Linked DNA regions of Anolis sagrei. The protein of the gene in region 3 purifies or fractionates together with the protein of the main gene of each other region. This does not show direct contact. Links are inferred from orthologs where the notes say so. Each region holds a gene or a part of one and is shown on either strand. Other genes may lie near its edges.

Region 1 (7,388 bases), on a different chromosome or scaffold from region 3:
CAGGTGGTCTTTGGGTGAGAAAGGAGCTTGCTCTTTCAGATCGAGTTCTGCGAGTGTTAAAATGCAAAGCTCTGCAGCATCTTCTCTGTTGCACAAAGAGGAGGTCATCGCTATCTCACAGCAGCTGGGCATACAATTTTCTCTGTGACCTAAGAAAGATAATTCCAAAAGGTGGGTTTATATAAGGCGAAGAGCATGTGTGAAAGTGCTACAGAAATGAAGGATTAAAGCAGGCATGACTTTGACTGCGACCCTCCAGATTCTTTGTGCCCACAAACCCCACCAGAGAATGTGGAGTGGGAAAATGGGAACTGCAGTCCAAAAACCAAAACCTATTTACTTTCACCTATAGATAATGCCAATTTGGATGACTAATAAGCTAAAATTCAATCTAATCAATATGGATTTATCATTTACTAGCCGTCCTCTGCCACGGCTTGCTGTGATCTAGTCTGTGTATATGTGATTTTTGTGTATATATGTGTATATATTTGTGTATATGTGTGTTTGTGTATGTGTGTGTGATTTTGCACATGCATTGTAATGTATTTTTGGGGTTGTTGGTTTTTTTTTGTTTTTTTTTTTTTTTGCTTTGTAAGCCCTTCCGCTGTGTTTTTCAGTGTTTTATGAGTGATTGTCACTTGTTGGTCTGATACGTGTATTGTGTCCAAATCTGGGGTCAATTCATCCAGTGGTTTTTGAGTTATGTTAATCCCACAAACAAACACTACATTTTTATTTATATAGATTTGCAGAGGTGTTCCTCCCATTGGGAAAGATGTCAAGGTTTTAAGTTAGTGTGTTTCTTTGAAGGTAGTGTGTTTCATTTTGTGACTGGTCATTAGAAAGTAAACACAGACATAATTTGCAAGTGTGATTACCAGGGCATGCATCTGAGGAAATCTCATTTAGGAGAGTATATGAATTAATCATAATCACATTAACATTTTATCCAGCCCTGCATCACTATGGTTAGTATAACACTTTCTTAGCGGCCTTGTTTAAAATCACATCTCAATCACAAAGCTACCAAGAGACAAAGACTCAAAATCATTACTCTGTAAAAAGGTCATGAGTTCAAAGCCAGCCCAGATCGGAGTAAGCTTCCGACTTCTGTGTAGCTTGCTATCAACCTTTGCAGCCAGAAAGACAGTTGCATCTGTCAAGTACAAAATTTAAGTACCGCTTATGCGGGGAGGCTAATTTAACTAATTTACGATGCCATAAAATCTCCAGCAAGTAAGCAAAAAAGAATTAGGAAGTACTCAATCAGTGTCAAAAATGGATGGTGAAGCGACAGCTCCCCTGGTGGCCAGAATACTCTCATGAAAGCTGGAAAGTTAATTAGCCTCTGATTGTCTGTCAGCTTATATTTATTAACATTCCAGCTTTTTTTTTGATGAGGGTATTCTGGCCACCAGGGGAGCTATCGCTTCACTGTCCATTTGTGACACTGATGGAGTGTTTCCTCATTCTTTGCAGGCTTGCTGGAGATTTTTATGGTGTCGTAAATTATTAAATTACCCCCCCCCCCCCCCCCGCATACGCAGTATCTAAATTTCCTACTTGACAGATGCAATTGTCTTTTGGGCTGCAAAGGTTGACAGCAAGCTGGCTTCGAACTCATGACCTTTCGGTCAGTAGTGATCTTAATGCTGCTGACTCCCCGCCGCTGTGCCACAGTCCTGGTGCGGTAAGGCCCCAGAGTTCTTTGGCAGGGAAGTGGTAGCCCTTGCAAAATTGCAAACCCCATGGATTCCACAGCACTGAGCCAGGGCAGTTAAAGGATGCTTCTACAGTGCAGAGGAAGCTGGTGTAGGCATGCGGAACTGAATTGCTTCCCGGGCCTTGGCACTCTTGGCTGACCAGCCTCTCTTTCAGCCTCTCCTGCCTCGCAGGGTCATTGTGGGGAGGAACACTAGGAGGGGAGGGCCATTGCTAGAAGGCAGATGGGATGGAAAAGCAGCAAGCAGCCCCATGGCGGCAGCCGTGTCCCACCCCCAGAGCCAGGCCTCTTCTAGGACCCACAAAGGGATAGAAAGGGCAGGCATGGCTCAGTCCCTGCAAAACGCAGCCTTTCTTTGGCTGCTGCTCTGTTTCCTTTTACCTGGATGGGCTTTCTCCGCCTGCAGCCACCCTCTGTCCCCAGCACTGACTTCCCCTCCTCCTCCTCCTCCTCCTCCTCCTCTTCTTCCTGGCCTGGCAGCTGAATGTGCTGGCACTCTCTGCAAAGAGAAAGCATGTCTTGCTCTCTGTCTCTCTTGCAAGGCTCCTCCCTGGAAGCCTTCCCTGGAGGGACTGCTGGCAATTCAGAGAGAACCAATGGACCGAAAAGGGTGCCTCGGCTACACTGTAGAATGAGTGCGGGTTGACCCCACTTGAACTGCTCTGGCTCAATGCTATGGAATCAAGGGAGCTGTAGATGTACAATGTCTTTTGCTTTGTACATACTACAACTCCCCAATGCTGCATAGCATTGAGCTAAGGCAGTTCAAGTGGTGCCTTTTTTCATGTCAGGAGTGACTTGAGAAACTGCAAGTCACTTCTGGTGTGAGAGAATTGGCCGTCTGCAAGGACAGTAACTTCTGGTGTGAGAATTGGCTGTCTACAAGGACGTTGCCCCTGGGACGCCCAGTTTTACCATCCTGTGGGAGGCTTTTCTCATGTCCCCGCATGGGAAGCTGGGGCTGACAGACGTGAGCTCACCCTACTCTCCAGATTTGAACTGCCAACCTTTCGGTCCTCAGTCCTGCAGGCACAAGGGTTTAAACCATTGCACCACCAGGCCAAACCGTACTCATTCTAGTGTAGGCAGTGGTGGGTTGGGTCTAAAAATATTGGTTGCCAGGAGACAAAGGGGGCCTCACCCCTAAAAGTTCCGAGCCTATATAACATATGGGTCGGCCTCATAACCCAAGTCAGAATAATTTTTTCAGAGTTTTTAAAAATTATATTCTTAAATTTGTTCTTTCAAATCAGTGGTTCCCAACCTTTTTTTGGCCAGGGGCTACTTTGACCAGGGACCACTCTCCAACATTAGTACCAAAGAGGTTATGAATCAGTTTTTGCTCAATTTTAGATTCGGTTTGGTTATTTGAAGTGCTGATAAGAGAAAATTGCATTGGCTAGACCTCATCAGCTCTCGTTTCTGATACAGAACATACGCTATCCAGTAGTCACCATCAGCTCAGCTTCAGAAAACCGTATTTAATAGAGCTGATGTGGTAGTGGTAATGCTTTGCGGGTAGTCAGCCTCTCCCCTCCTGACAGCTCAGTTGCCTCAGCACTATAAGAGGGTTTTGCAAGACCAGTTTTGCAAGACCACACTGCTGTGTGGTTTCGAGGCAACTGTGTAGTAATGGTGATGCTGTGGACCATATTTTCATTCTTCTGGACCACTGGTGGTCCACGGACCACATGTTGGGAACCACTGGAAGATTACTTGCATGTGGAAAACATACTTGCACATGGAACGTATACTTGCACGTGGAAGATGTACTTGCACGTGGAAGACATACTTGCACATGAAAGGCGTATTTATATGTGGAAGGCGTACTTGCAAAGGGAAGGTGTACTTGCACATGAAAGATGTAGTTGCACATGGAAGGCGTACTTGCACGTGGAAGATGTATTTGTACGTGGAAGGCGTATTTGCACATGGAAGGCGTACTTGCACGTGGAAGACGTACTTGCACATGAAAGACGTATTTGTACGTGGAAGGCGTACTTGCACATGGAAGGCATACTTTCACGTGGAAGACGTACTTGCACATGAAAGACGTATTTGTACGTGGAAGGCGTACTTGCACATGGAAGACGTATTTGTACGTGGAAGGCGTATTTGCACATGGAAGCGTACTTGCACGTGGAAGATGTACTTGCACGTGGAAGGCGTACTTTCTTGCACGAGCGTTTTTTGGTCCCAATTTTTAGAAATAAGTATACAAATAAATAAAGATGCATCGATTTAATATTTATATTCCACATCTCCACCCTCCCTCCCCAAAAAAGGTCTCAATAGCTTCTTTGCAGGATTTGGGTTCCTTTCAGGGGGAATCAAAAGGATTGTAGTGGTGACTGCCATGAAGAAACGCACTGCTGACTTCCAAAGAACAGTTGTTGCCAGTTTGAGAACCATAAACAACAACAAAACAAACTCAGAAGCCTTGGCGCCCCACCAAATCTCTTTCCCTTCACCCTCCTTCCACAAGTTCTATTCGTTTCCACACGAGGGCATTAATTTGTCGACGATCCCTTGATCGTCCTCTGTTCTTTTTTTTCCCCTTTCTTTTGCTCCGGAAAAGCTTCCCTTTGTACGCATGCGCACTTGTCGTAGCCGGAGAGAGCAGCGCGGGGCCAGAAGGGACCGGAAGAAGCGTGCGCGCGGGCCGGAAGGGGAGCAGGCAGGCGCGCGCGCAGTTCCTCGCACACGGCTTTCAGTGGGCGTTTTTTTTTCGAAGCGTCGAAGGCCTCCTCCTCCGGCGAGCGCGCGAGAAGTGTCAGTTGCGCATGCGCCCTGGACCTCTTCTCTGTCTGTCTGTCTGTCTGCCTGGCTGCCGGCCTCTTTCCCTCCTCTCTCTCTCTCCCCGGCCGTTGAGGAAGAAGGACCATGTCGCGCAGGCGGCACAGCGACGATAACGACGGTGAGCGGGAGCGAGGGAGGAGAAAGGAGGAGAAGGGGGTGGGAGTGGGAGAGAGGGAGGCCTGGCCCTCATGGCCTGAGGAAGCTGCCTTTCTTCGATAGGGGCTCCCAACCTTTCAGGTATGGGGGGACTTCAACTCCCAGAAGCCCCAGCCGTCTTCGCCAACCGAGAGGAATCCCGGGAGTTGAAGTCCCAACTTAGCCCCTGGGAGACCAAAGGTTGGGAAGTGTGTCTGGTCTGGGGGGCCAGTATTGTCGTTCTCCATGGGCATCTTTCTGAAGAAAAAGCCTGGCCTGTAGGACCTTTGACCCGTTTATTTCACGAGAAATTAGTTCAAACGCGTTTTGGAAATGGGAACTTCAGTTGTGTCCAACCTCTCAGTACTTCTCACAGTGACTTGGAGTTGTTGTGAACAAGAAGCGTGCAAGAACGTATGCCAGCATGTAGTAGTAGTAGCAGTAGTACAGCAAGATACTGCACTTGTAAACACTTGGCAAGGAATGCAGTTATTTCTAATAGTCAACACAGATTTATCTAAAACACGTCATGCCAGACTAATCTGATCTCTTTTTTCAATAGAGTTACAAGCTGAGGTTGGTGGGGACGAGGAGCAGGGCCTTCTCAGTGGTGGCTCCTCACCTGTGGAATTCGCTCCCCAGGGAAATTAGGTCACCAACATCCCTCCCCTCATTTAGAAGGAAATTAAAAACATGGATTTGGGACCAGGCCTTTGGGTAATCTGGCAGCAGACAAAGGACTAGTGACGACAACTGATGGACTTGACAGTGTGGAATTGAATTTATGAACTCTGAGTTGGCAAACGTTGAGCATTAGATTGGTTTTATAGATTTATTTATTTATTTATTTGCTTTATTTCTATACCGCGTTTTTCAGCCTAATTAGGCGACTCAATGCGGTTTACACAATGCAGGTTATCACAACAATAAACAGTTAAAAACACATCATACACAACAACAAAATCAACAATTATTATCAATTCATGACGCCTCGATAACAGAGCAAAATCCATTCTCATAATCCTTGTGCCATTTCTATGTTCAATTTTACCGTCTTCCTGTGTTCAGTTGCACTGTTTAGCCAAACGCTTGCTCGTAAAGCCAAGTCTTAACCTTCTTCCGAAACGCCAGCAACGAAGGAGCCTGTCTGATGTCTATAGGTAGGGCATTCCATAGCCGAGGGGCCACCACCGAGAAGGCCCTGTCCCTCGTCCCCGCCAACCGTGCCTGTGACGCAGGCGGGACCAGAGCAGGGCCTCCCCGGACGATCTTAATGTGTGATTTTGATGTGTGATGTATAATGGACTGTTTTAATTACTGTTTACATATGTTTATTTTTACCTTGTTGTGCCGGCATCGAATTGTGCCTTTTGTAAGCCGCCCTGAGTCCCCCCTCGGGGGGTTGAGAAGGGCGGGGTAGAAGTGCAATAAATAAATAAATAAATAAAGCTGGATAGACACAGGGAACACTATTGGTGTAGCGTACCTGGATTTCAGTAAGGCCTTCGACAAGGTCCAATATAACCCTCTGGCAAACAGACTAGTTAAATGTGGGCTAGGCAAAACTACAGTTAGGTGGATCTGTAATTGGTTAGGTGAAAGAATCCAGAGGGTGCTCACCAATAATAATAATAATAATAATAATCTTTTTTTATACCCTGCCACCATCTTCCCAACGGGGATTTGGGGCGGCTTACATGAGGCCAGGCCCAACAGTGCATTACAATAAAATAAAAACAAAGCACATAACAGACAACACAATAAGCTTAATAAAACATAAGAATACAATAAACAATATAAAATACAATGAAAAATCATTCGCAATCACAGTGACAATGAGCAGGCCACATTTACAGATAAAATACTAAAAGCTCAGCATGAGATAGGAGTGGAGCAGATTATTTGTGAGGGAGAAGTTGTAAAAACAGGCCTTCAAATAGACAGGGGGAAGTGTGCTATAGGCACAAACATTGAGTGGGAGCAACAGTGTGTAGTTGTATGGTTACTCTCCAAAAGCACAACGGAAAAGCCAGGTTTTGAGATTCTTCTTGAAGGTTGCTAAGGTGGGTGCTTGCCTAAGCTCACTGGGCAATGAGTTCCAGAGTCGAGGAACCACAGAGGAGAAGGCTCTCTCCACTGCTTCCTCTTCATCTTGGAAAGAAGTGACGAGAGGAATGCCATAAGCAAGATCCCGTCCTGGTCCCAGGCCTGTTCAACATCTTTATTAATGACTTAGATGAAGGGTCAGAAGTCATGATCGTGACGTTTGCAGGTGACACCAAATTGGGAGGGATAGCTAGCCATTACTCCAGAAGACAGGAGCAGAATTCAAAACGATCTGAACAGGTTAGAGAGATGGGCCAAAACTAGCAAAATGAAGTTCAACAGGGACATATGCAAGATACTCCATTTAGGCAGAAAAAATGAAATGCAAAGATACAACATGGGGGACACCTGGCTCGACAACAGTACATATGAAAAAGATCTTGGAGTCCTGGTGAACAATAAGTTAAACATGAGCCAACAGTGTGATGTGGCAGCTAAAAAAGCCAATGAGATCTTAGCCTGCATAAATAGGAGTATAGTGTCTAGGTCCAGGGAAGTCATGCTACCCCTCTATTCTGCCTTGTTCAGACCACACCTGGAGTATTGTGACAATTCTGGGCACTGCAATTGAAGGGAGATATTAACAAGCTGGAATGTTTTCAGAGGAGGGTGACTAAAACGA
Region 2 (7,119 bases), on a different chromosome or scaffold from region 3:
TGAATCTTACAGAGGCGTCAATAATAATAATAATAATAACAATAATAATAACAACAACAACTTTATTTATATTCCACCACTATCTCTCCAATGGGGACTTGGAGCAGCTTACACGACGCCAAGCCCAAACAGAAAATTACAATAAAATAAAACTGAAAACAAGCAACTACTTCATTCTTTTATAATACATATGGGCATTTTCAAAATTAGGTAAATAATGTTTTTCCCTGTTATGGGTTCATATAACTGGTAAGATTACCTCTTCTGCCTCTCCCCCCCCCCCCCCAACTCAACAATAACATCCACCTTTGCATTCTACAGGTATCTTCAATTATGTTGCATTAGATTAGACTGAGAGGTTGTATCAACTGCAAGATGTATTAAACTGATGGCCTGAAAAAAGATTTCCTTGAACTAACAGCATAAAACTATAAAACGCAAGATCTGTGTGTCATTTTCAGAAGCAAAGTATATGCAGAAAGAAATATTGGGGCAAACTTTTGAAACAAATCACAGTATCACAAAAGTACTAAATTGGCCATGACCTGCTTCTGATAATGGCTGTGGCTTTGTCTTTTAAAAATGCAGCTCCACCTGCATTTATGACATTTTTGCATCATGACGGCCCAGCAGCAATCCTGACCACCCACACAATGCTGCTTGCTATTTCAAGAAGTTTCTGCTCTCTCCTCATTGGTCATTTATAATAAATGCTTTGGACCAAGAAGAGGAAAAGACTGAAATTGCATTTGCTAATTAAAATCTGCTATTTCAAAACCTTCAAACAGAACCATTCCTCTCTTTCCCTCCCTATATATATATATATACATACATACATGCACTTTGATGGGGGAAATCTACTATAGAATTTTCACAGGATAACACACACCATAACTAATGGTGATACTAAGAAGATTTTTGGTTCCATATGGAGTAAGCTCTCCCCTTTTGCAGGGGTCAGGGACACAGGAGAACTGCAGATTAAAAAAAATTGCAGTTGTTAAAACAAGTAAACATCTAAAAAACCCAGGATTCCATAATGTGTCTGGAATACATATTTGGAGACTTTACAGAAATGTATTTGGTTCTAAATGCTTATTTATGTTTTATTTTATAGATGGTTTTATGTGTTATATATGCTGATAGTTTTGGACTTGTATTGCTTTTAACATGTTGTAAGCCACTAAGGGTCCCTTTGTGGGAGAAAAGTGGGATACAAATAATAAGTTATTACTATTATCTATAGGAATTTTGGTTTTCCAGAATTATTATTATTATCCTGCTTTTCTCCCATGGGTGTGATTCAAAGCGGAGTACAATAGTTAAAAGCAACAAAATTACATAACATAAAATACAGCATAGTAAACAAAAATACACACTACACAAAACAAATTTAACAAATTAATAAATCAAAACATTATACCATTAAAAATTTTTCCTGAACCTCAGGCCATTAAGATTATCCATTAAAACAGTTACGTTAGGCTCCTAAAAACTCAATTTTTCTTTAGGTCAGTGGTGCTCAACCTATGGGTCTCCAGATGTTTTGGCCTTCAACTCCCAGAAATCCTAACAGCTGGTAAACTGACTGGGATTTCTGAGAGTTGTAGGCCAAAATACTTAGGGACCCACAGGTTGAGAATGATGCTTTATTTTTATGAGATGTGTTATATTTTTATGAGATGTGTTTTATTGTTTACCTGTGCAGCATTAAATTTTTGCCAGATATGAAAGCTGCCTTGTGTCCCTTCTTGGGTCGAAAAAGGCGGGGTAGAAATGAGGTAAATAATAAATAGACCGTGTTAAAATACTGCTGGTCTAAAGCAGCATTCCCACAATATACAGTTGCCTATTGTTGATAGAATCATACAGTTGGAAGAGACCTCATGGGCCATCCAGTCCAACCCCCTGCCAAGAAGCAGGAAAATTGTGTTCAAAGCACCGCCAACAGATGGTTATCCAGCCTCTGTTTAAAAGCTTCCAAAGAAGGAGCCTCCACCACACTCTGAGGCAGAGAGTTCCACTGCTGAACAGCTCCCACAGTCAGCAGTGGAACTCTCAGCTCCAGAGTGTGTTGGAGGAAAGGCCTGGTTGAATTTATGATCAAATTCCAGTTGAAACTAACTTCAGAACTGCATCGCAGGGCCTCTATCCCCAGAGAGGTGTTTACTCTAGAAATCTCTAGGTCCTGTCAACAGGACTGGAGGAAGAAACTCCTAAATGGCATTTTAAATCAAATCCGCAAAAGTCTGAACAAGAAATGAGGAGGGTTGACTGTATAGTGAAGCACAAACTAAGTCTGTACATACATTATTATTATTATTATCATCATGTATTTAAACAGCACCATTGCTGTACATGATACTTTGTGAGGGAATGAATAATGAACCCATGCCCTGCCCTCAGGCTTATAGTCTGTTCTTGGAGAGAGGAAGGTAAGAAATAAGTATGATGATGTTCACACACTGTCATCAGCATCACTGGCCTATTTCAGGTTCACTATAGGTGCATCCACACGGTAGATTTAGCGCGGGTTGGCACCACTTGAACTGGCAGGGCTCAATGCTATGGAATCCTGGGGTTTGTAGTTTGATGAGGCGCCATGCCATGCGGCGCCTCATCAAACTACAAACCCCAGGATTCCATAGCATTGAGCCCTGCCAGTTCAAGTGGTGCCAACCCGCGCTAAATCTACCGTGTGGATGCACCCAGAGGAGGCCCAGGCCCCTCACTCGCTCGCTCCCTCTTACCTTCTGTCACTTCCAGCACCTTCACTTGCTCCTCGGCTGCGGCGCGCACCCCCTGCACCGGGCACAGGATGCCATTCAGAGTCTCCACCAGCGCCTCCTTCAGCCCCTGAGCCACAGGCCCCAGGCCTCCGGGCCCCACCACCGACATCCCGGCAGGAAGAAAGAGACTTCCCGGAAGGAAGGAAGGAGGAAGGACTGAGGGGAGAGAAAAGGGCCGCGGACGCTGCTGCTGCTGCTGCTGCTGCGGATGCCGCCACCGCGCGCCAAACGCAGCCGCGCGACGACGCCGCTCGCTCGCACGCACGCACGCACAGCGCTTCCCCTGCCCAGGCTCCCGACAGGCGCGCTTCTCCCACAGCGACCCCCGCGGTCGGCGGAGGAACTGCAAGCAGGGCAGCGCCTTTCGCTCTGGTTTGTTGTAGGTTTTTTCGGGCTGTAAGCCATGGTCTAGAGCAGTGGTTCTCTACCTGGGGTCCCCAGATGTTTTTGGGCTACAACTCCCAGAAATCGTAGCTAGTTTACTAGCTGTTAGGATTTCTGGGAGTTGTAGGCCAAAAACATCTGGGGACCCCAGGTTGAGAACCACTGGTCTAGAGGCATTCTCTCCTGACGTTTCGCCTGCACTTTGGCAAGCATCCTCAGAGGTAGTGAGGTCTGTTGGGACTAGGCAAAAGGGTTTATATATCTGTGGAATGACCAGGGTGAGACAAAGGGCTCTTCTCTGCTGGAGCTAGGTGTGAATGTTTCAACTGACCACCTTGATTAACATTCAATGGCCTGACTGCGCCTGGGGCAAACTTTTGTTGAGAGGTAATTAGATGTCCCTGCCTGCTTCCTTCCTGTTGTTGTGCTGTTGCAATTTTAGAGTTTTTTTTAATATTGGTAGCCAGATTTTGTTCATTTTCATGGTTTTCTCCTTTCTGTTGAAATTGTCCACATGCTTGTGTATTTCAATGGCTTCTCTGTGTAGTCTGACATGGTGGTTGTTGGAGTGGTCCAGCATTTCTGTGTTCTCAAATAAAATGCTGTGTCCAGGTTGGTTCATCAGGTGCTCTGCTATGGCTGAATTCTCTGGTTGAAATAATCTGCAGTGCCTTTCATGTTCCTTGATTCGTGTCTGGGCGCTGCGTTTGGTGGTCCCTATGTAAACTTGTTCACAGCTGCATGGTACACGGTAGACTCCTGCAGAGGTGAGAGGATCCCTCTTGTCCTTTGCTGAACGTAGCATTTGTTGGATTTTCTTGGTGGGTCTGTAGATAGTTTGTATGTTGTGTTTCCTCATCAGCTTCCTTATGCGGTCAGTGGTTCCCAATAACACTTTTTCTCTGGGTGGATCTTCATCTTTTTTCTCATGGCTTGTTCTTGGTCTTGCAGCTCTTCTGATGTCTGAGGTGGAGTATCCATTGGCCTGGAGAGCCCAGTTGAGGGGGTTCAGTTCATCTTGGAGGAGGTGGGGTTCGCAGATTCTTTTTGCACGGTCTGCCAAGGCTTTAATGGTGCTTCTTTTTTGACTTGGGTGATGGTTGGAGTTTTTATGTAGAGATATCTATCTGTGTGTGTGGGTTTTCTGTAAACGGTGTGACCCAATTGTTGATCTGGTTTGCGGATGACTAGGACATCTAGAAAAGGCAGTCTTCCTTCATTTTCTTTTTCCATTTCGCTCTCCCATTCTTGCGTCTTAAAAGAATGGGACAGTTTTGATAATAATGAGAATGCATCCATTCTTGCACATCTCGAGTCTCAATATTCTGTATATATTCCTTCATTGGTGAAATCCATCGGGACGAATAGTTCAATTATGTGTTTATCTGGAATATCACTAGGCACTATTATGTACATAATAAACAGTATGCACATTAATATTATTTTACTGGCATAAAAGCACAGTATGTCACAGCATACGAGATCTATATGCTGGATTCCGTATCACAAAATCACAAGTTGAACACTTCCCAAGCGTCTAGGACTGTGTTATTATTATTATTATTATTACTATTATTATTATTTGAAACATAAGATGAGTCCACAGCAGACTATTGTATTGGATCACACGTCGGACACTTCCCAAGTGCCTAGGACTATGTTATGTGTCAGCGAATAATGCGTGCAGATCCCAGTAAAGTGGCCTTCTGCAGCTGGCAGATGATAATTTTGTCAGCACCGATTGTGTTTAAGTGCAGGCCAAGGTCTTTAGGCACTGCACCCAGTGTGCGGATCACCACTGGGACCACCTTGACTGGCTTGTGCCAGAGTTTTTGCAGTTTGATCTTTAAATCCTCATATTGTGTCAGCTTTTCCAGTTGTTTCTCTTCAATCCTGCTGTCCCCTGGGATTGCGACATCGATGATCCATACTTTGTTTTTTAACACGACTGTGAGGTCAGGAATATTATGCTCCAAAACTCTGTCTGAATTTGGAAGTCCAAGAGGAGTTTGGCGTGTTCATTCTCTGTAACTTTTTCCGGCTTGTGATCCCACAATAATAATAATAATAATAATAATAATAATAATAATAATACAATTAGGAGCCCCCAGTGGTGCAGTGGGTTAAACCACTGAACTGCTGAAATTGCTAACCAAAAGGTTGCAGGTTTGAATCCGGGGAGCGGCCTGGCGGGCACGGGAAATTTGAATCAGAAAACTGTATATTCTATACTAGCTGTCCTCTGCCACACGTTGCTGTGGCCCAGTCTGTGTATTTGTGTTTGTATATATGTGTGTGTATTTGTGAATATGTGAATATATGTGTGTTTGTGTATATATGTGGTTTTGCACATGCATTGTTGTTTTTGTTGTGAATGATGTTACTGGACCCTGTAATGTTGCTCCCCGAGTAGACGTGGAGACAAAGTTGGCATCTAGGTTTGTGGCAGGGTCTTGTTCCTCCTGTATTACCATCCATAGTATGTATCCTGTGGTGAGTACAGTAGCTGCTTACAATTTTGAGATTGAAAGGCAATAAATGCCAGTCTCCCAGAGCTTGTGAAAAGGATAAATTCATAATGGGCTGTAGATTCCCTATTTTGTGGGTCTAAGCAGTTGTGTTAGACTGGTTAGCAGTAAACAATAGATAGGGTGTTCTGAATGCTATTAATTGCTATAGACCATATTCACAAATTCAAATTCAAATTCTTTAGAAGAGGTATTAAGAAGTACAATGGCTTCATGGCACATTACATATATTAATACAAGATTTCTCAGTACTACATATCTAGAAATTGTCTCAAGAGATGATTTTGAGCCCAGGGAAACAAACTTTTGGTAAGGAGAGGTATTACTGTCACACTAACACTAGCTGACCACTATAAATCACTAAGATCAGAAAAACCTGTGTCACCTTGTCAAGCCCTGTGACATAAGGGGCAAAGGAAAATATTGGGATTTTCTAGGTCCTATTGCATTTTATCTCATTTCACAACTGTATAAATATGCTTTCTACTTGAGTTCTTTATATCATTATGCTACATCTGAAAAATGCTTTTATATCCATGAAAGCTCATAGTTAGTCCTAAATATGCTGCCACATTTCTTTTCTTTTCTCTCCCTCCTTTCTTCCTTTTTATGCTGGGATTTGGAAATCTGTGCCAGAGACCTGTCATGCCACTCTAGATTCATAGATTCCATAGAATGTAGTTATGAGCTTGAAAAAAATCACTGAGCCTTAGCAATTTTCCTAGTTACCTCTTCCAAAATACCTTGACTCCAAGGAGTCCTTAAAATTGGGTTAGCGTCAGTCCCTGAAAGGAAGAATTCAGCTTCCAGCTTCTCTTTTTGCAAGTGCTGCTATCACCACATTTCTCTTCCCACTCCTATCACCTTTGCATATCACTACCACCATCTTCTGTTCTACAAGGGTGTCCTGAGAATGGCCTGCTGCTTCATCTTCTCCTCCTCTTGCCTCTTTATGTAAAGACTAGCCATCTCCTGCCACGCATTGCTGTGGCCCAGTCTGTGTATATGTGCTGTGTGTGTGTATATATGCGTATATGTGTGTGTATATATTTGTGTATATGTGTGTTTGTGTATATATGTGGTTTTGCGCATGCGTTGTAAAGTATTTTGGGTGGGGTTTTTTTGCTTTTTAAGTCCCTTCTGCTGTGTTTTTCAGTGTTTTTATGAGTTATGGTCACTCGTTGGCCTGATAGGTGTATTGTGTCCAAATTTGATGTCAATCTGTCTAGTGGTTTTTGAGTTATGTTAATCCCACAAATGAACATTACATTTTTATTTATATAGATAAGGGATCTTCTAGAGGAGCTGGAAGGCATCAAAGGAATAGCTAGTAGCCTGCAATCCTAGCCTTACATCATTGTGGTTCTTGGCCCATCTTGCTAGAAAACATCAGGAACAAATGAAATACTGCCATGCAT
Region 3 (7,477 bases):
GGCATTTGTAAGTCGGATGTTTGTAACTCAGAGACTGCCTGTAAAGCTTTTTTGCTAGTTTTCTTTATATTTCATTCTAAGGGTTTTGAAGTTATACTCAATGGCTTTTCAGATGAAACTGAACTTCACAGTGTCAGCATGGTAGGTTTGTAAGCCCACTACTTTCAAACCTCAATACACCTTTAATTTGAGTTGAGTAACATAATATTTGGATATAATAGGGGGAGAAAGGGCTGCCATATATGTGGCACATTCAGCTCAATGGAGGAAAAACAGGACAAAAACGTTACAAATAATGTAAACTAATAAACTTGTAATTTAAAATCACCATCTCATTGTTTGAAATAACACAATGTAACAAAATTTGAAACATTTTCTGTTTCTGGTTTGAAAGTGTTATTTCCCGTATTAGTTGTGCGGTCCTTACTTTGAAAGCAGTTGTTCTACTCCAGAAAGTCATTTTTGTGGCTGCCATAAGCTAGGCTGAATCAGCCAAGACTATAGGCTAGTCATTAAAAGACTATAGCAAAATGTGCTATAGCAGGATGTCCCGCCAAAACGATTTTGAAGTTCAATGCACTTTGCCCATGCTTTTATGATAGAACCAATTAGGAAATGACATTTATAGCCCAGGAACAAAAACCATGTTGCTTAGGGCCCTTCCACACAGCCATATAACCCAGAATATAACCCAGAATATGCCGCCCTACATGAGAGCCATGCGTGACTTAGGGCCTTTTACTCTCACACTTAAGACCTGGCTTTTTACTAGAGCATTCGATCTCTGCTGATTTTTAATTTTTGTATGTATGTATTTTATCTTTTGTAATTTAGCTGTAAATCGCCTGGAGCATTCTCGGATGGAGGGTGATTAATAAGTTATTAAATGATGGTGATGTATATCAAGGCAGAAAATTCCACAATATCTGCTTTGAACTGGATTATGAATCCACACTGCCATATAATACAGTTCAAAGCCAATAATGTGGGATTTTATTCAGCTGTGTGGAAGAGAACATAGTGGGTTACAAATATATATCACACTACCAATAAAAATCAAACCAGACAGCCATGAAGTCCAAAAGCACAATGTTGCCTTCGGTTACCTAAAAGTTAAATTCTTCGGATCCTTAACACATTTAGGGCTCTTCCACACAGCCATATAACCCAGGGCCCTTCCACACAACCCTATAATCAAGATCAAGGCAGAAAATCCACAATATCTGCTTTGAACTGGGTTATCTGAGTCCACACTCCGATACTGTAGGATTTTCTGCCTTGGTATTCTGAGATAAAGAGCTATGTGAAAGAGCCCCCAGACTATCAAGGCTGATAACCCACAATATCCACTTGGAACTTGGTTATGTGAGTCCAAACTGCCGCAGTAGACTCTGGAACTCTCTGCCCTGGGAAAACTAGAATGGCCCCATCCTCCCTGCTGTCCTTCAGATAGCAAAATCCAACATTTTCATTCAGGTAGGCTTTTAAAGGTTTGTAAAGATCATCAAGGGGGGGGGGGGACTGCTGTGATTTTGTATGTGGTTAATGATGTTTTATACTGGTTTTAATACTTGTATATTTGAAGTTGTGCTGCAGTGCTTTTAGTTGTGAGCCGCTTTGAGAGCCCCTTCCACATAGCCCTATAGCCCAGAAGAAGATCAAGGCAGAAAATTCCACAATATTTGCTTTGAACTGGGGGTCCTTCCACACAGCCCTAAATCCCAGAATACCAAGGCGGAAAATCCCATAGTATCGGAGTGTGGACTCAGATAACCCAGTTCAAAGAAGATATTATAGGATTTTCTGCCCTGATATTCTGGGATATAGGGCTGTGTGGAAGGACCCTCAGTATGGAGAGAAAAAGTGGGACATAAATAAACATCAGATAATCCAACTCAATGTGGATTTTATACAGCTGTGTGGAAGGGAGTTACAAATTAGATGTCAAACTGTGCGCGTGGGGTTCCTGCGGATTCCTAGGCGAACAAAGGAAGCCACGCGCCACAGGGATCCTCCCGCCCCACCAAACAGGGGAAAAAGTTGTGGGGTGGGGAAACTGCTTTTCTTTTTAGTAAAGAATCTATTGGGGGAAAGAGGGCTCAGAGGCTGCTTACCTTAAACTGGACTTGGGGTTCTCCTTGCGGGGCGGCCATGCTGCGTCTGGAGAGGAAGAGGAGCGAGGGAGGGAGGGAAGAAGGAAGGAAGGAAGGCAAGAGGCGTGATCGGTGAGGAAGGCCCTATTCGCCCGAGCTCCCCAAAAGGCGCGTGGCGGCCTCTGCATCCGGGGCGCGAGGCAGGAAGTGGCAGCCGGAGCGGCCAATGGCGCCCCCCCCCCAAACAAGCCTCGCCTAGCCTGGCCTCGCCTCTCTTCTTCCCCCCCCCTCCCCCCGGGCCCGGAATGGCTCAGCACAATCGAGGGGCGTAAGGCAGCGCTTGCAAACAATACGCCGGAGGGACAAGGCGAGCCATTGTGATCGCCTCAGAAACGAGGCAAGAGACGGCCTTGGGGCAGAGCTCTCTCTGAGGGAGACGGAGAAGTACCACCCACGTACGTTGTTTGCCGGCAGATCCCTCAGGTGGGATCCGCCCGGTGCCTGACTGCTTCTCCGCGGAGATCCGCCTCCTCCTGGCGGGCACTTCCCGCGGGGGACCGAGACTGAGGCGCGGCCGCCCCTCCCCCTCCCTCCCCCGCCAACCGCCGCCCCAACGGCCACCGCCGCGCGGGAATCTCCAGAGCGAGACACGCACCCTCCTGGCGGGCCTCAGCCGGCGCCTCTCCCGCTCGCCTGCCCGCCTAGCGCTGCCCTGAGGCGCCTCCGCAGCCTGCGAGGGCCTCCCCGGCTCGCTCCCCCTCGGCCTCCCGCCTCTCCTGCCCCAGAGTTACCTTCCCGGGGCGGTTTTCTTTCTCACTCCGCTCGCTCTTGGCTCTCTCTCTTGTCTCCCTCCGCGAGCTGGGCGGACGGCTGAGGAAGATGGCGGAAGCGCGAGGGTTCAAATAGCCGTAAAAAAGAAGGGGGAAAGGGGGCGGGGCGTGCGCGCGGGGGCCACGCAGGCCTGACGTCACAGAGGCCCGCGCGCGCTCACAAACGGGCAAACAGGGCGGGGGGAGGGGCGGGCTCCGTGTCACGTGGCTGCCTCGGAAGGCGGAGGAGGAGGAGAGGGAGAGCCCGGCTCTTCGCGCCTCTTTCTCGCCGCGCTCACTCGCTCGCTCGCTCGCAGGGCTTTTCCACTCGGCCATCTCACCCAGAATATCAAGGCAGGGAATCCCACAGTATCTGCTTTGAACTGGGTTATTGGAGTCCACACTGCCACATAGCCCACTTCAAAGCAGAGATTGGGGGATTTTCTCCTGCTGTGTGGACGGGGCCACAGGCAGGCAGGCAGGCAGTCCAGCCGAAGGCAAGGAGGCGCTCTCCGCCTGGGTGGAAGAAAGGGCCGCTCTCCCCCGTCCTTTCTCTCTGGTGGCCGTGAAGACTCAAGCCGTTTCCAACCAGTCATTTAACTCAGAATCTCAAGGCAGGAAATCCAAAATATCTGCTGTGAACTGGGTTATTTGGCAGTGTGGACTCAGACAATCCAGTTCAAAGCAGATATTGTGGGATTTCGTGCCTTGCTATCCTGGGTTATATGGCTGTGGAAGAGCTCTCAGGCTCCTTCCACGCCAAAATCCTACCATATCTGCTTTGAATTGGAATATATGGCAGTGTGGATACGACTAACCCAGGCCCTTCCACATAGCCCTATATCCCAGAATATCAAGGCAGAAAATCCCACAATATCTGTTTTGAAGTGGGTTATCAGAGTCCACACTGCCATATATTCCAGTTCAAAACGGATAATATGGGATTTTATTCAGTGGTGGGATTTTTTGCCTTAGATATTCTGGGATATAGGGCTGTGTGGAAGGGCCCTGGGGTCCCTTCCACACAGCTGAATAAAATACATTATCTCCTTTGAACTGGGATATATGGCAGTGTGGACTCAGATAACCCACTTCAAAGCAGATTTTGTGGGATTTCCTGCCTTGAGATTCTGGGGGTCCTATAGCCCAGAATATTAAGGCAGAAAATCCCACATTACCTGCTTTGAACTGGGTTATCAAGAGTCCACACTCAGGTAATGTGGGATTTTCTGCCTTGATATTCAGGGATATAGGGCTGTGTGGAAAGGCCCCCAGAATACCAAGGCAGAAAATCCCACATCTGAGTGTGGACTCAGATAACCCAGTTCAAAGCAGATATTGTGGGATTTTCTGCCTTGATATTCTGGTATACAGGGCTGTGTGAAAGGACCCTCAAATAACTCGGTTCAAAGCAGATCTGGTGGACTACCAGGTATTCTAGATCAGTGGTTCTCAACCTGTGGGTCTCCAGATGTTTTGGCCTACAACTCCCAGAAATCCCAGCCAGTTTACCAGCTGTTAGGATTTCTGGGAGTTGAAGGCCAAAACATCTGGGGACCCACAGGTCGAGAACCACTGTCCTAGATTATATGGCTGTGTGGAAGGGCCCTTGTAGAATCCAGTTCAAAGCAGATCATTTGGATTCAGAAACTGAGTTGCTGTGGCAGTATAGATCCAGCCCGAGTGTCTGCTATATAATGAACTGCAGTTAATCCCCGAGTTACAAACATCCGGCTTACAAACAACTCCTAATTAAAAATAGGGCTGAGACTCCTTCCACACAGCTGAATAAAATCCCATATTATCTGCTTTTAATTTGAATATATGGCAGTGTGGACTCAGATAACCCAGTTCAAAGCAGATATTGTTGGATTTTCTGCCTTGATATTCTGGGTTATGACTGGAAGGGCCCCGAGACAACAGGAAGGGAGAGATATCTATCCCAAGGAAGGGAAATCCACTCCTGGAAAATCGAGTCTCTACTGAAGCTTTATCCCCAGTTGTTGTTTCTACAACAAGCCACATTTCTCAAAATCCAATTATCACAGGGATAGAAAGTGTGGGAACACTTTATTCTAAACAGGGGCATAGGCAGCAAAACGCCACAGGAATATTGACCCTGAAGTGTGACCCAAAAAAACCTTATATATTTGGTTGGAGTTACACTCAAGAAATGTCCCTGTTCCTATTTACATACAAATTTAACTTACGAACAAACCTACAGAAACAATCTTGTTCGTAACTTGGGGACTGCCTGTACTTGCTTGGATTTTCATGACCGCTAGCATGAGTTGCCTGAGGAATTTATTGACTACAGCCCCTTCCAAACTCTCAACCTGCTGTAACACTTCTTTGTTGTGCTATTTGTGCTTAGATATACAAGTTATATAATTTATACCCATTTATTATTTCATAATAGGAGCCCCCCAGTGGTGCAATGAGTTAAATCCTTGTGTCAGCAGGACTGCTGACCAAAAGGTAGGCGATTCGAATCTAGGGAGTGGGGTGAGCTCCTGTCAGCTCCAGCTTCCCATGTGGGGACATGAGAAAAGCCTCCCACAGGATGGAAAAACATCCAAGCGTTCACTGGGCAACATCCTTGCAGACAGCCATTTTTCTCACACCAGACATGACTTGCTGTTTCTCAAGTTGTTCCTGACACACACAAAAATCACAATACTTTTAGTTCACAAAGGATTTGTGAGTTTAGTCTTCTGATGAGACAAATGTGTAATTGGTATGTGATGGTCAGTTGTTTCTAGGCATTATTCCTGGCGAGGGAGTGTGTTTGTGTGTGTAGCGGGGGAAGCACACTTACAGCAGGTCCTAGCGATTGGTCTTCCCACTGTATGCATTTACATAGACAGAGAACACAAGGGCACCAGTGCTAGCAGAGGAATGGATTTTGTAGGATCAGCATGACTACAGTCCTTACCTCAGCATAAGCTCCACTGATATAAGCAAAGTTGCCTTTTGACTGCATAGCTTCAATTTGTAAAACATACTACACTTTGGAAAAATTACTTTTTAGGTCAACCATTTCCAGAATCTCTTAAGAATGTGAGTGTTGTGGTCCAAGAAGTAGCTTTTTCACATTTTTCAGTGACGACTATTCATTCGGTTTAATTCAGTGTAAAGTCTTCAATTGAAAATGCAACTTAAACAGTTCATATGAAATAAAAACTTTAGCAAAGAGAAAGAAGCCCATTTCAAACGTTCTCCATTCTGCAGGCTATGAGAGCAATTGTTTGGTTTTCTCCTGCTGTTCTCTAGTAAGTGGTGTATTTTGCTTCTGTACAAGATTTGTATTGTATTCTCTGAGGTTTGGGGACCAGGGAGGAGTAACAACATTTCTATTTGTAATTTTCCTGTGCTTTCCACTGGTTTTTTCCATCTTTTTATTTACAACAACAAATGTCTATGAAAAAAAGGAAGATAAAATAGCTGCAGGATGCCTTCTGACCAACAAAGCTAGAAGCTGCGTGGCTTAAAGTACTTTTGTTTGGAGGCAGCATATAGCCAGCCATCTTGACTAATACACATTCGTTGAGAGCATTATTCTCCAAGAAAGCTATCCAATGTCCCTTTCAGAGCCACATAAATTGATGGTCATCAACACATTATGTGGGCATCAATTCTACAATTAGTATTTGCCCTCAGCAATTAAATTGTAAAATTGAAAGCTCCTTCAGTGCCCTGGGATGCAGTTCATCTGGCCCTGCTGATCTGAACTCATTCTGGTTAGTAAGGTGATTCATGACTAACATCCTATCAATCCTGAGTTGCAATTAAAATCCCTAGTTAGTATATCTGCTGCTACATGGAAGTGCACACTTCTCTTTTGGGGAGAAAAATCAAGTGGAATTAGTATTGAGTTCTGGCTTTTTCATTGTGAAATGTTAGCATTTTTGCTACCTTACCACTATTTCCTTGCCTTGAGTGTATCCAAAAGGGATCTAGGTGCCTTAGGGCCCTTCCACACAGCTCTATATCTCAGAATATCAAGGCAGAAAATCCCACAATATCTGATTTGATCTGGGTTATCTGAGTCCACACTCAGATAATGTGAGATTTTCTGCCTTGATATTCTGGGAAATAGGGCTGTGTGGAAGAGGCCTTAGAGTCCAGACAGGCCCAATATCCCAGGATCTGTACAATTTATAGGAAATACAGAACTGTCAAATTCAAACTTCCCGTGCCCCTTGCTGGCTTCACGCCGATTGGTTGGAGTCATCAGCTGGAGGGAGGCGCGGCCGGCTCAGGCGTGCCTTGGCCAATAGGGAAGCCAGCGCTGCTTTGGCTTCTGAGCCAATGGGAATTGAGGAGGCAGTACAAGCAGGAAACAAAGAACCGAGAGGAAAAAAAATTAGTGGATTAAATGTAACTTAATGGTTTGTCCGATGGCCAGCGATAATCCGGATATTCCTCAAGCTGGCCTGGTATTGTCCCGTGGGGGTGAAATATACAAAAATGGTTGGCGCGGCTGCCAAGCCTTGATAATCTTTTGTCCTGGATATGGGATCAATTGATGCTATCTGTGTGTTGGTTTCAGCCAAGGGTGCAAAGACAATGGGT
Region 4 (7,940 bases), on a different chromosome or scaffold from region 3:
CAGCACTGACATTAGTATGGAACTCAGCCTTGACAAATGTGCCACAGCGGCAGTAAAGAAAGGGAAAATTACTCACAGCGAGGGCATAGAGATGTCAAATGGACAAACCATAAAGTACAATCAGCCTGAAGCCTATAAATATCTGGGCATACTACAGCTGGACAATATCAAGAATGGGCAAGTGAAAAAGGTGGTCAGCAAATAATATATCCAAAGAGTCAGAAAGGTTTTGAAGAGCAAATTAAATGGCGGAAATACGATCAAGGCTCTCAACACCTGGGCCATCCCCATCATTAGATACACTGCTGGGATTGTGAACTACACAAGCAGAGCTGGGCGATCTGGATAGAAAAACAAGAAAACTGATGACAATCCACTCCTCATTACACCCGTGTAGTGATGTCAACAGACTTGACCTGCCCAGAAAATCAGGAGCTTGAGAGAGGGCTTCTGCAAGTGAAACATACGGTAGAAGAAGAGAAACACGCACTGGCAGATTATGTGAAAGGCAGTCAAGAACCAACATTGAGGGAAGTCAATAGTGAAGTCAACAAGTGCAAAAGACAAAGAGAGAATACCATAAAAACACAATTCAGAGCAGAAGAGAAAACTGGTCAAAGAAGGCTCTCCATGGACAGTTCCTGGGAAACACTGAGAGCCAAATTGACAAGGAAAAAACATGGCTGAGGCTCACGAATGGAACTCTGAAAAAGGAGACAAAGGATGGCCTGATTCTGGCAGCCATTAGAACCAATGCCATCAAAGCCAGAATTGAAAAGTCAACAAGAGATCTCAAATGTAGACTCTGCAAGGAAGCAGATGAAACAACAGATCACATTCGCAGTTGTTGTAAGAAGATCGCGCAGACAGACTACAAGCAGAGGCACAACACTGTTGCTGAGATGATTCATTGGAATTTGTACCAGAAATACCATCTGCCTGCGACAAAGATCTGGTGGGACACAATGTGAAGATTTAAAGATTGAACTGTAAAGACTCTGGCACAAGCCAGTAAAGGTGGTTCCAGTAGCCCTTCAGGCCCACGCCCTGATTGCTCAGAAGTGGGTCCTGGTTCCTGCAGCCCACTTGTCGATGGGTGCCCAGGAGAAGCACTTGCTGTGGTCCTTATTATCCTGGGTGATGACCGAGCCAGTATAAACTTCTTTACAATTTGTTTCACCATATTTAAATGGTTTGGGTGTACTTAGTTCTACTTCTCAGTGGAGACCACTCTGGCTTGGCTGAACCTGCTGGTAGTTTATACTATCACCAGCACAGCTCTCAACATCACAAGCCAGTAAAGGTGGTCCCAGTGGCGATTGGCACACTGGGTGCAGTGCCTAAAGACCTTGGCCTGCACTTAAACACAATCAGCGCTGACAAAATTACTATCTGCCAGCTGCAGAAGGCCACCCTACTTGGATCTGCACGCATTATTAGCCGATACATCACACAGTCTTAGACACTTGGGAAGTGTCCGACGTGTGATCCAATACAACAGCCAGCAGAGTGACCTCGTTTGCTGTGGACTTGATCTTGGAGTCCTCGTGGACAACAAGTTAAACATGAGCCAACAATGTGATGTGGCGGCAAAAAAAGCCAATGGGATTCTGCCCTGCATCAATAGGAGCATAATCTCTAGATCTAGGGAAATCATAGATGTATATGGAGCCCCCAGTGGCGCAGTGAGTTAAACCCTTATGCCGGCAGGACTGAAGGTCGCAGGTTCAAATCCGGGGAGAGGCGGATGAGTTCCCTCTATCAGCTCCAGCTCCTCATGCGGGGACATGAGAGAAGCCTCCCACAAGGATGATAAAAACATCAAATCATCCAGGCGTCCCCTGGGCAACGTCCTTGCAGACGGCCAATTCTCTCACACCAGGAGTCATTCTTGACACGGCAAAAAAAATAAATAGATGTATATTGCGTTCTTAGGGTGAGGGAGAAGCGTGGAGAGATGTAAAGACACCACACACTTTTTTTTGCATGCTATCTCTGCCAATATGGGATTTTGGCCTGCATCAATAGGAGCATAGTGTCTAGATCTAGGGAAGTCATGCTCCCCATGCTCTATTCTGCTTTGATTAGACCACACCTGGAATATTGTGTCCAATTCTGGGCACCACAATTCAAGAGAGATATTGACAAGCTGGAATGTGTCCAGAGGAGGGTGACTAAAATGATCAAGGGTCTGGAGAACAAGCCCTATGAGGAGTGGCTTAAGGAGCTGGGCATATTTAGCCTGAAGAAGAGAAGGCCGAGAGGAGATATGATAGCCATGTATAAATACGTGAGAGGAAGTCCTAGGGAGGAGGGAGCAAGCTTGTTTTCTGCTTCCCTGGAGACTAGGACGCGGAACAATGGCTTCAAACTACAAGAAAGGAGATTCCATCTGAACATTAGGAAGAACTTCCTGGCTATGAGAGCCATTCAGCAGTGGAACTCTCTGCCCCAGAGTGTGGTGGAGGCTCCTTCTTTGGAAGCTTTTAAACAGAGGCTGGATGGCCATCTGTCAGGGGTGCTTTGAATGCAATTTTCCCGCTTCTTGGCAGAATGGGGTTGACTGGATGGCCCAGGAGGTCTCTTCCAACTCTAGGATTCTATGACTCATCTTGTTGTGTTTCAAATAATTTATAATAATAGTAATGTATAATAACATAACTATGAAGTATTGCATGAAAGATACAATAATATATTTCTGGTATGTTTACTCAATATAGAATGATACATAATAATAATAATAATAATAATAATAATAATAATAATAATAATAATCCAGCCTCGAAGTCTTGGAAACAGGCAAGCGACAGTTCCAGCCCTTCTTCTTCCCCGTCGACTGAGGCGAAAGCAAGTTTCTCCCCAGGAAGCCCTTCCGCCTCGCTTCCCCTCCGCCTCACCTTCATTTCCCTCTCGGGAATCACGTCCATGTCGTCGCCCATCCCTCTCCTTCTTTCCGCGTCGCCGCCTCACCTCACCTCACCTCCTCGGCCGGAAAAAGGAAACCAGGACGAAGCTTCCGGTTCCGGTGGCGCTCTAGGCCCATACCCGCCTCTCTCTTACCTTTCCCATAGAGAAAGCCGCTTTCGAAGCCTAGAGAAGCCGAAATGGAGGCGGATCGTGGCGTTTTCCTCGGACCCGCCCGCTCAGGAGACCAAAGAGTTAGAAATCTATAGACACCTCACTGCAACATCGACTTCTGGTTCCCTTAGGCCATTTTTTTTTTGTTTTATGTGGGACCCTAGAGATAGCAAGGTATCAAGATAATGCTCAAGATCCTGCAAGGAAGACTCCAGCAATACATGGAGCGAGAGTTGCCAGATGTTCAAGCTGGGTTTAGAAAAGGCAGAGGAACGAGAGACCAGATTGCCAATATCCGGATGCTGGATAATGGAGAAAGGCAGGGAGTTTCAGAAAAACATCTATTTCTGCTTCATTGACTATTCTAAAGCCTTTGACTGTGTGGATCATCATAAATTGTGGCAAGTTCTGGGTGGGATGCCCTATTTTCATATGTTTACAGCAGAAACTACCGAAAATCATGCCACAAAAATATTTGAATTTTTCCATCTGAGGCACACCTGGGCTCCTGATGGTCCCCCATCTCATGAACAAGGGACTCTCTTTCCTCCTCATGGATATATTTCCTTTTATGGACCTTCCTATGAATAATATGAACTATGGACACTGGGGGAAGGTAGTTGGGTTTACTCCTTGTGTTATGATTTCTATATTTTCATATCTTCTCCTGTATTTCTATATTTCCCTTCATGTATTTGACCTTGCCCTGACCCTTTTGCCCCCTTCCCCTCTCCTTGGGGGAAATCTACAAGGAATCTGCCCTGCCTCTGGAAAAGCAACCTGCGATCATGAAAAGACCCTTCTCTTTGGACATTCTTTGCATGGACAATAGTAAAGGAAATCCTTTTGACTTCGGAGTTGGGCCATCTTAAGGGTTCCTGTCTGGCAGACTTTTTAATCATATAACAATGGGGGGAAATATGACCTTAGGAAAGTCCTCTTTTCCTCCAAGCCATTTTTCTTTCAAATCTTTCCACTAAGGACACTCACAAAAGTTTCCCCTTTGTGCCCTATCTGATTGTAAGAGGAAAAACCGGATTAAGCCATCAATGCTTATCACAGACCCATTTCAGGACAATAAAGTGGCTTCTCTGGAAGGCCGATCCCCAGACTCGATAAGCCTAAGGACATTAAAACTCCATAATCCACTCCAGAATGCATTGTCTCCCTTCATCCCGCCTCCCTCCCTTCTGATTCGCTGGAGCGTCGAGGCAGCAGGAGCCTCCTGATAGGCTCTGGTGCCCCGCAAAAGCCCTGTGATTGGCCCTGATGCATGGGGGATGGCCAGGCCTCCTCCCAGCTGTTTGCGCGTCAGCCAATCCCCTTCGAGCTGGGCGGGAGGGGGGAGCAGGAATTTTGAAACTCACAACTCTGTATTTTCTATAAAAATGGCCTTTACTTCTGTAACCACATGCTCTGCTTGGCGAATTATTGCTGCTCTGCATCCTTTTCAGCTGAATCGCTAATAAACCTCGGTGGCACTTCCTTCAACTTGGTGAGACCTTTTATTGGGAAAAATCAGGGATTGGGTGCTTCTCTCTGTCTCGCCAGGGTAACAAACTCTTTAAGGAGCCTGATTGGTCTCTGCCTCCTGGCAAAGACACCTAAATTCCTGCTCTATAGCATAATGGGCACTGATCTTGGGTCTCGGAGTCCGACTGCTTGAGGAGATGTGCCCACTTGGCATAAGTTATCAAGGGCCTTCAGAAAGCCACAATTTGTCCTGATCTGTTTACTCAGTTATCTTCCCTCAACCGAAACTGCAGATAAGATTGTTCCATTGTCCCCATATCCCTGCTCAAGAAAAATCCGGATTCTGGCCACCTCGCCAGACATCAATGTTGATTACCAACTCCTCATCACAATAGCTGGTCAGCTGGAAGGCCCCTGAGGACTCACCAGCCACATGGACATCACATATTTCCATAATCCACTCAAGTTCTCATTGTTTCCCTCTCGTCCCGCCTCCCTCTCTCCTGATTGGCCAGGAGGCCGAAACGGCATGAGCTCACCCATTGGTTAAGGCACTCCGGAGGCGACCAAGCCTCCTCCCAGCTGTAGAGCACCAACCAATCAGCGCCGAGCCGGCTGAGGGGCGGGGAGCGGGAGATTCAAATCTGACAGCTCTGTATATGTATAAAAAGGCTTTGTTTTGTATTCAATGTATGCTTGCCTGACGACTTGATCAGTCATTGAAGCAGTAGTCTCAGGAAGGGAGTGAAGGTACTTCAAGTCCCATCATCCCATGTGTGCCAAGTTTGGTCCAGGTCCGTCGCTCGTGCACGCCACAGTGGCAGACAATCAGAAAGCTGCCACATACATACACACATACATACAAACATTCTCTTTATTTATTTATTTATTTATTTATTTATTTATTTAAAACATTTCTATTCTGCCCTTCTCACCCCGAAGGGGACTCAGGGCGGAGCACAGCATATATACAGCAAACATTCAATGCCGGGACACAAATTCAAATAGAATACATAAACATTAAAAAACAATTTATCAAATATTAAAATACCTCATTTAAAACCATCCTAGATATAGATTTAGAAGATATAGATTATAATTATTTAAAGTCATTAATGATTTATAAAAGGATGACATTTTGTTTGCAAAGAGAACCCAGGCCCATTCCAGAGACACGGCCGGCTATACAGACAGTGCTTAAATAGATAGATATGTGTATAATATATGTTTATATGATATTTATATGATATACATACATATATATATATATATATATATATATATATGCATATATTTAAAACGGCTACTTCTAAGAGGTCCCTCCGGCCAGGGTCCCAGGAATTTCCCTTCTCGATCCTTCTTCCTTTGCTAAAGCAGAGAGTTAGTAAGGGAGGGCAGGCTTCCTAAAAGGGTCTGGGGTCAAGTGGGGGTCTTTTTCCCAAAGGAAGGGGGTTCACGGCAGGGTAGAGATGTCCCTCTTCGGAGGGGGGCCGGGGGCCTTCGGGGCAGCGCCTTCACCGGCCTTGTCTTCAAACATCATGACCCTGCAAGGAGACAACAAACGGCCATCCAGTTATATACAGTGTTCCCTCACTTATCGCGGGTGTTACGTTCCAGGACTACCCACAAAACGTGAAAATCCGCAAAGTAGGAATGCTATATATGAATACACCTTTTTTTTTGCTAGTTATCTCTGCTTTGCTTTGCAATTTCTCTTGATTGGCTGTTTCTCTCCTGAGGGGGGGGGGTGACACCCCCTTCCACACTCCATCGTTGCCAGGAGGCAGGATTAGAACGGCAACGGCAACCATTCATAAACTGGGAGGCAAAAACCCGCGAAACAGCGAGTCCGCAAAAAGCGAACCGTGAAGTAACGAGGGAAAACTATATCTGTATAGAACTCATGTTCATAATTAGACAGTGCAAATATATAATATATAATATATTATATATAATATATTATATATAATATATAACATATAATATATTATATATTATATACTATATACTATATATATACATTAGATGTACCTGCCACGCATTGCAGTGGCCAACCTTCCTCTTTCTCTTCTCCTCTTTCTCTCCTTCCTTCCTTCTCTTCTTCTTCTTCCCTTCCTTCCCCCCTTTTCTTTCCCTTTTGCTTTCTCCCCTTTTTTCCTTCTCTTGGACTGCAACTCCCAGCAGTCCTCTTGATCTATCTATCTACCTACGTACCTATCTCTATCTAATCTATCTATCTATCTGGACGATTGCTGGGAGTTCTTTTATTCATGCACTCTACTATATATATATATATATATATATATATATATATATAAACACACACACACACTAGCTGTCCCCTGCCACGCGTTGCTGTGGCCCAGTCTGTTGATCTGGAAAATAAAGTAATGAGAAAGTGTTGGTTTCTAATATACTTGTGGGTAAACAGTATTTCTTGCTATTTCTTTGTCAGTGTTGATGTGGAGAGTGTCTGATTTGCCTACATATACAACATATAATTGTCCTTCTTCAGGGGTCCCTTTCAAATCTATGATACTATATTTGTGTGTGTGTGAATCCTTTATATCTATATCTATAGCTGGATGGCTCTGTCAGGAGGGCTTTGATTACATTTTCTTGCCCTGGTGAAGGGAGTTGGACTGGATGGCCTTGAGTGTTTTCTGTTGGTCATGGGAGTTCTGTGTGGGAAGTTTGGCCCAATTCTGTCGTTGGTGGGATTCAGATCACTCTTTGATTATAGGTGAACTATAAATCCCAGTAACTACAACTCCAAAATGTCAAGGTGTACTTCACCCAAACTCCATCTATCTTCATATTTGGGCATATGGAATATTCGTGCCAAGTTTGGTCCAGATCCATCATTGTTTGAGTCCATGGTAGTCTCTGGATGCAGGTGAACTACAACTCCCAAACTCAAGGTCAATGCTCACCAAACCCTTCTAGTGTTTTCTGTTGGTCATGGAAGTCCTGTATGCCCTGGTTGGTTCAATTCTATCATGCTATTTGATTGTAGGTGAACTATAAATCCCAGCAACTACAACGCCCTATCTATCTATCATCCATTTATCTATCTATCTATCTATCTATCTATCTATCTATCTATCTATCTATCTATCTATCTATATCTATGGCTGGATGGCTCTTTGTTGGGAGAGCTTTGATTACGTTTTCTTGCCCTGATGAAGGGAGTTGGAGTGGATGGCCTAAAGTATTTTCTGTTGGTTATGGGTGTTCTGTGTGGGACGTTTGCCCCAATTCTGTTGTTCGTGGGGTTCAGAATGTTCTTTGACTGTAGGTGAACTGTGAATCCCAGTGACTACAATTCCCAAATGTCAAGGTCTATTTCCTGCAAACACATATTTGGACATATTGAGTGCTTGTGCCAA

The links.
Region 1: the proteins of RAN (region 3) and NCBP1 purify together in Homo sapiens (co-immunoprecipitation; 3 studies listed by BioGRID and IntAct, with this or other methods). This does not show direct contact. The link is inferred for Anolis sagrei from reciprocal best matches to the Homo sapiens genes RAN and NCBP1.
Region 2: the proteins of RAN (region 3) and IPO9 purify together in Homo sapiens (affinity purification with mass spectrometry; 3 studies listed by BioGRID and IntAct, with this or other methods). This does not show direct contact. The link is inferred for Anolis sagrei from reciprocal best matches to the Homo sapiens genes RAN and IPO9.
Region 4: the proteins of RAN (region 3) and NUP214 purify together in Homo sapiens (affinity purification with mass spectrometry; 3 studies listed by BioGRID and IntAct, counting the BioPlex papers as one, with this or other methods). This does not show direct contact. The link is inferred for Anolis sagrei from reciprocal best matches to the Homo sapiens genes RAN and NUP214.

Annotation. Positions count from the first base shown.
Region 1 is NC_090022.1:150,976,578-150,983,965, reverse strand, and holds the start of NCBP1 (nuclear cap-binding protein subunit 1), read left to right. Parts: upstream 1-4,377; 5' UTR 4,378-4,609; coding exon 4,610-4,643; intron 4,644-7,388. Other genes in the region: TSTD2 (thiosulfate sulfurtransferase/rhodanese-like domain-containing protein 2), read right to left, coding at 1-132. UniProt on the Homo sapiens protein: Component of the cap-binding complex (CBC), which binds cotranscriptionally to the 5'-cap of pre-mRNAs and is involved in various processes such as pre-mRNA splicing, translation regulation, nonsense-mediated mRNA decay, RNA-mediated gene silencing (RNAi) by microRNAs (miRNAs) and mRNA export.
Region 2 is NC_090024.1:206,524,202-206,531,320, reverse strand, and holds the start of IPO9 (importin-9), read right to left. Parts: upstream 3,017-7,119; 5' UTR 2,899-3,016; coding exon 2,751-2,898; intron 1-2,750. UniProt on the Homo sapiens protein: Nuclear transport receptor that mediates nuclear import of proteins, such as histones, proteasome and actin. Serves as receptor for nuclear localization signals (NLS) in cargo substrates.
Region 3 is NC_090034.1:37,904,095-37,911,571, forward strand, and holds the start of RAN (GTP-binding nuclear protein Ran), read right to left. Parts: upstream 3,010-7,477; 5' UTR 2,885-3,009; intron 2,549-2,884; exon of another isoform or gene 2,391-2,548; intron 2,161-2,390; 5' UTR 2,154-2,160; coding exon 2,115-2,153; intron 1-2,114. UniProt on the Homo sapiens protein: GTPase involved in nucleocytoplasmic transport, participating both to the import and the export from the nucleus of proteins and RNAs. Switches between a cytoplasmic GDP- and a nuclear GTP-bound state by nucleotide exchange and GTP hydrolysis.
Region 4 is NC_090031.1:17,129,632-17,137,571, reverse strand, and holds the start of NUP214 (nuclear pore complex protein Nup214), read right to left. Parts: upstream 3,013-7,940; 5' UTR 2,940-3,012; coding exon 2,898-2,939; intron 1-2,897. Other genes in the region: AIF1L (allograft inflammatory factor 1-like), read right to left, coding at 6,005-6,095. UniProt on the Homo sapiens protein: Part of the nuclear pore complex. Has a critical role in nucleocytoplasmic transport.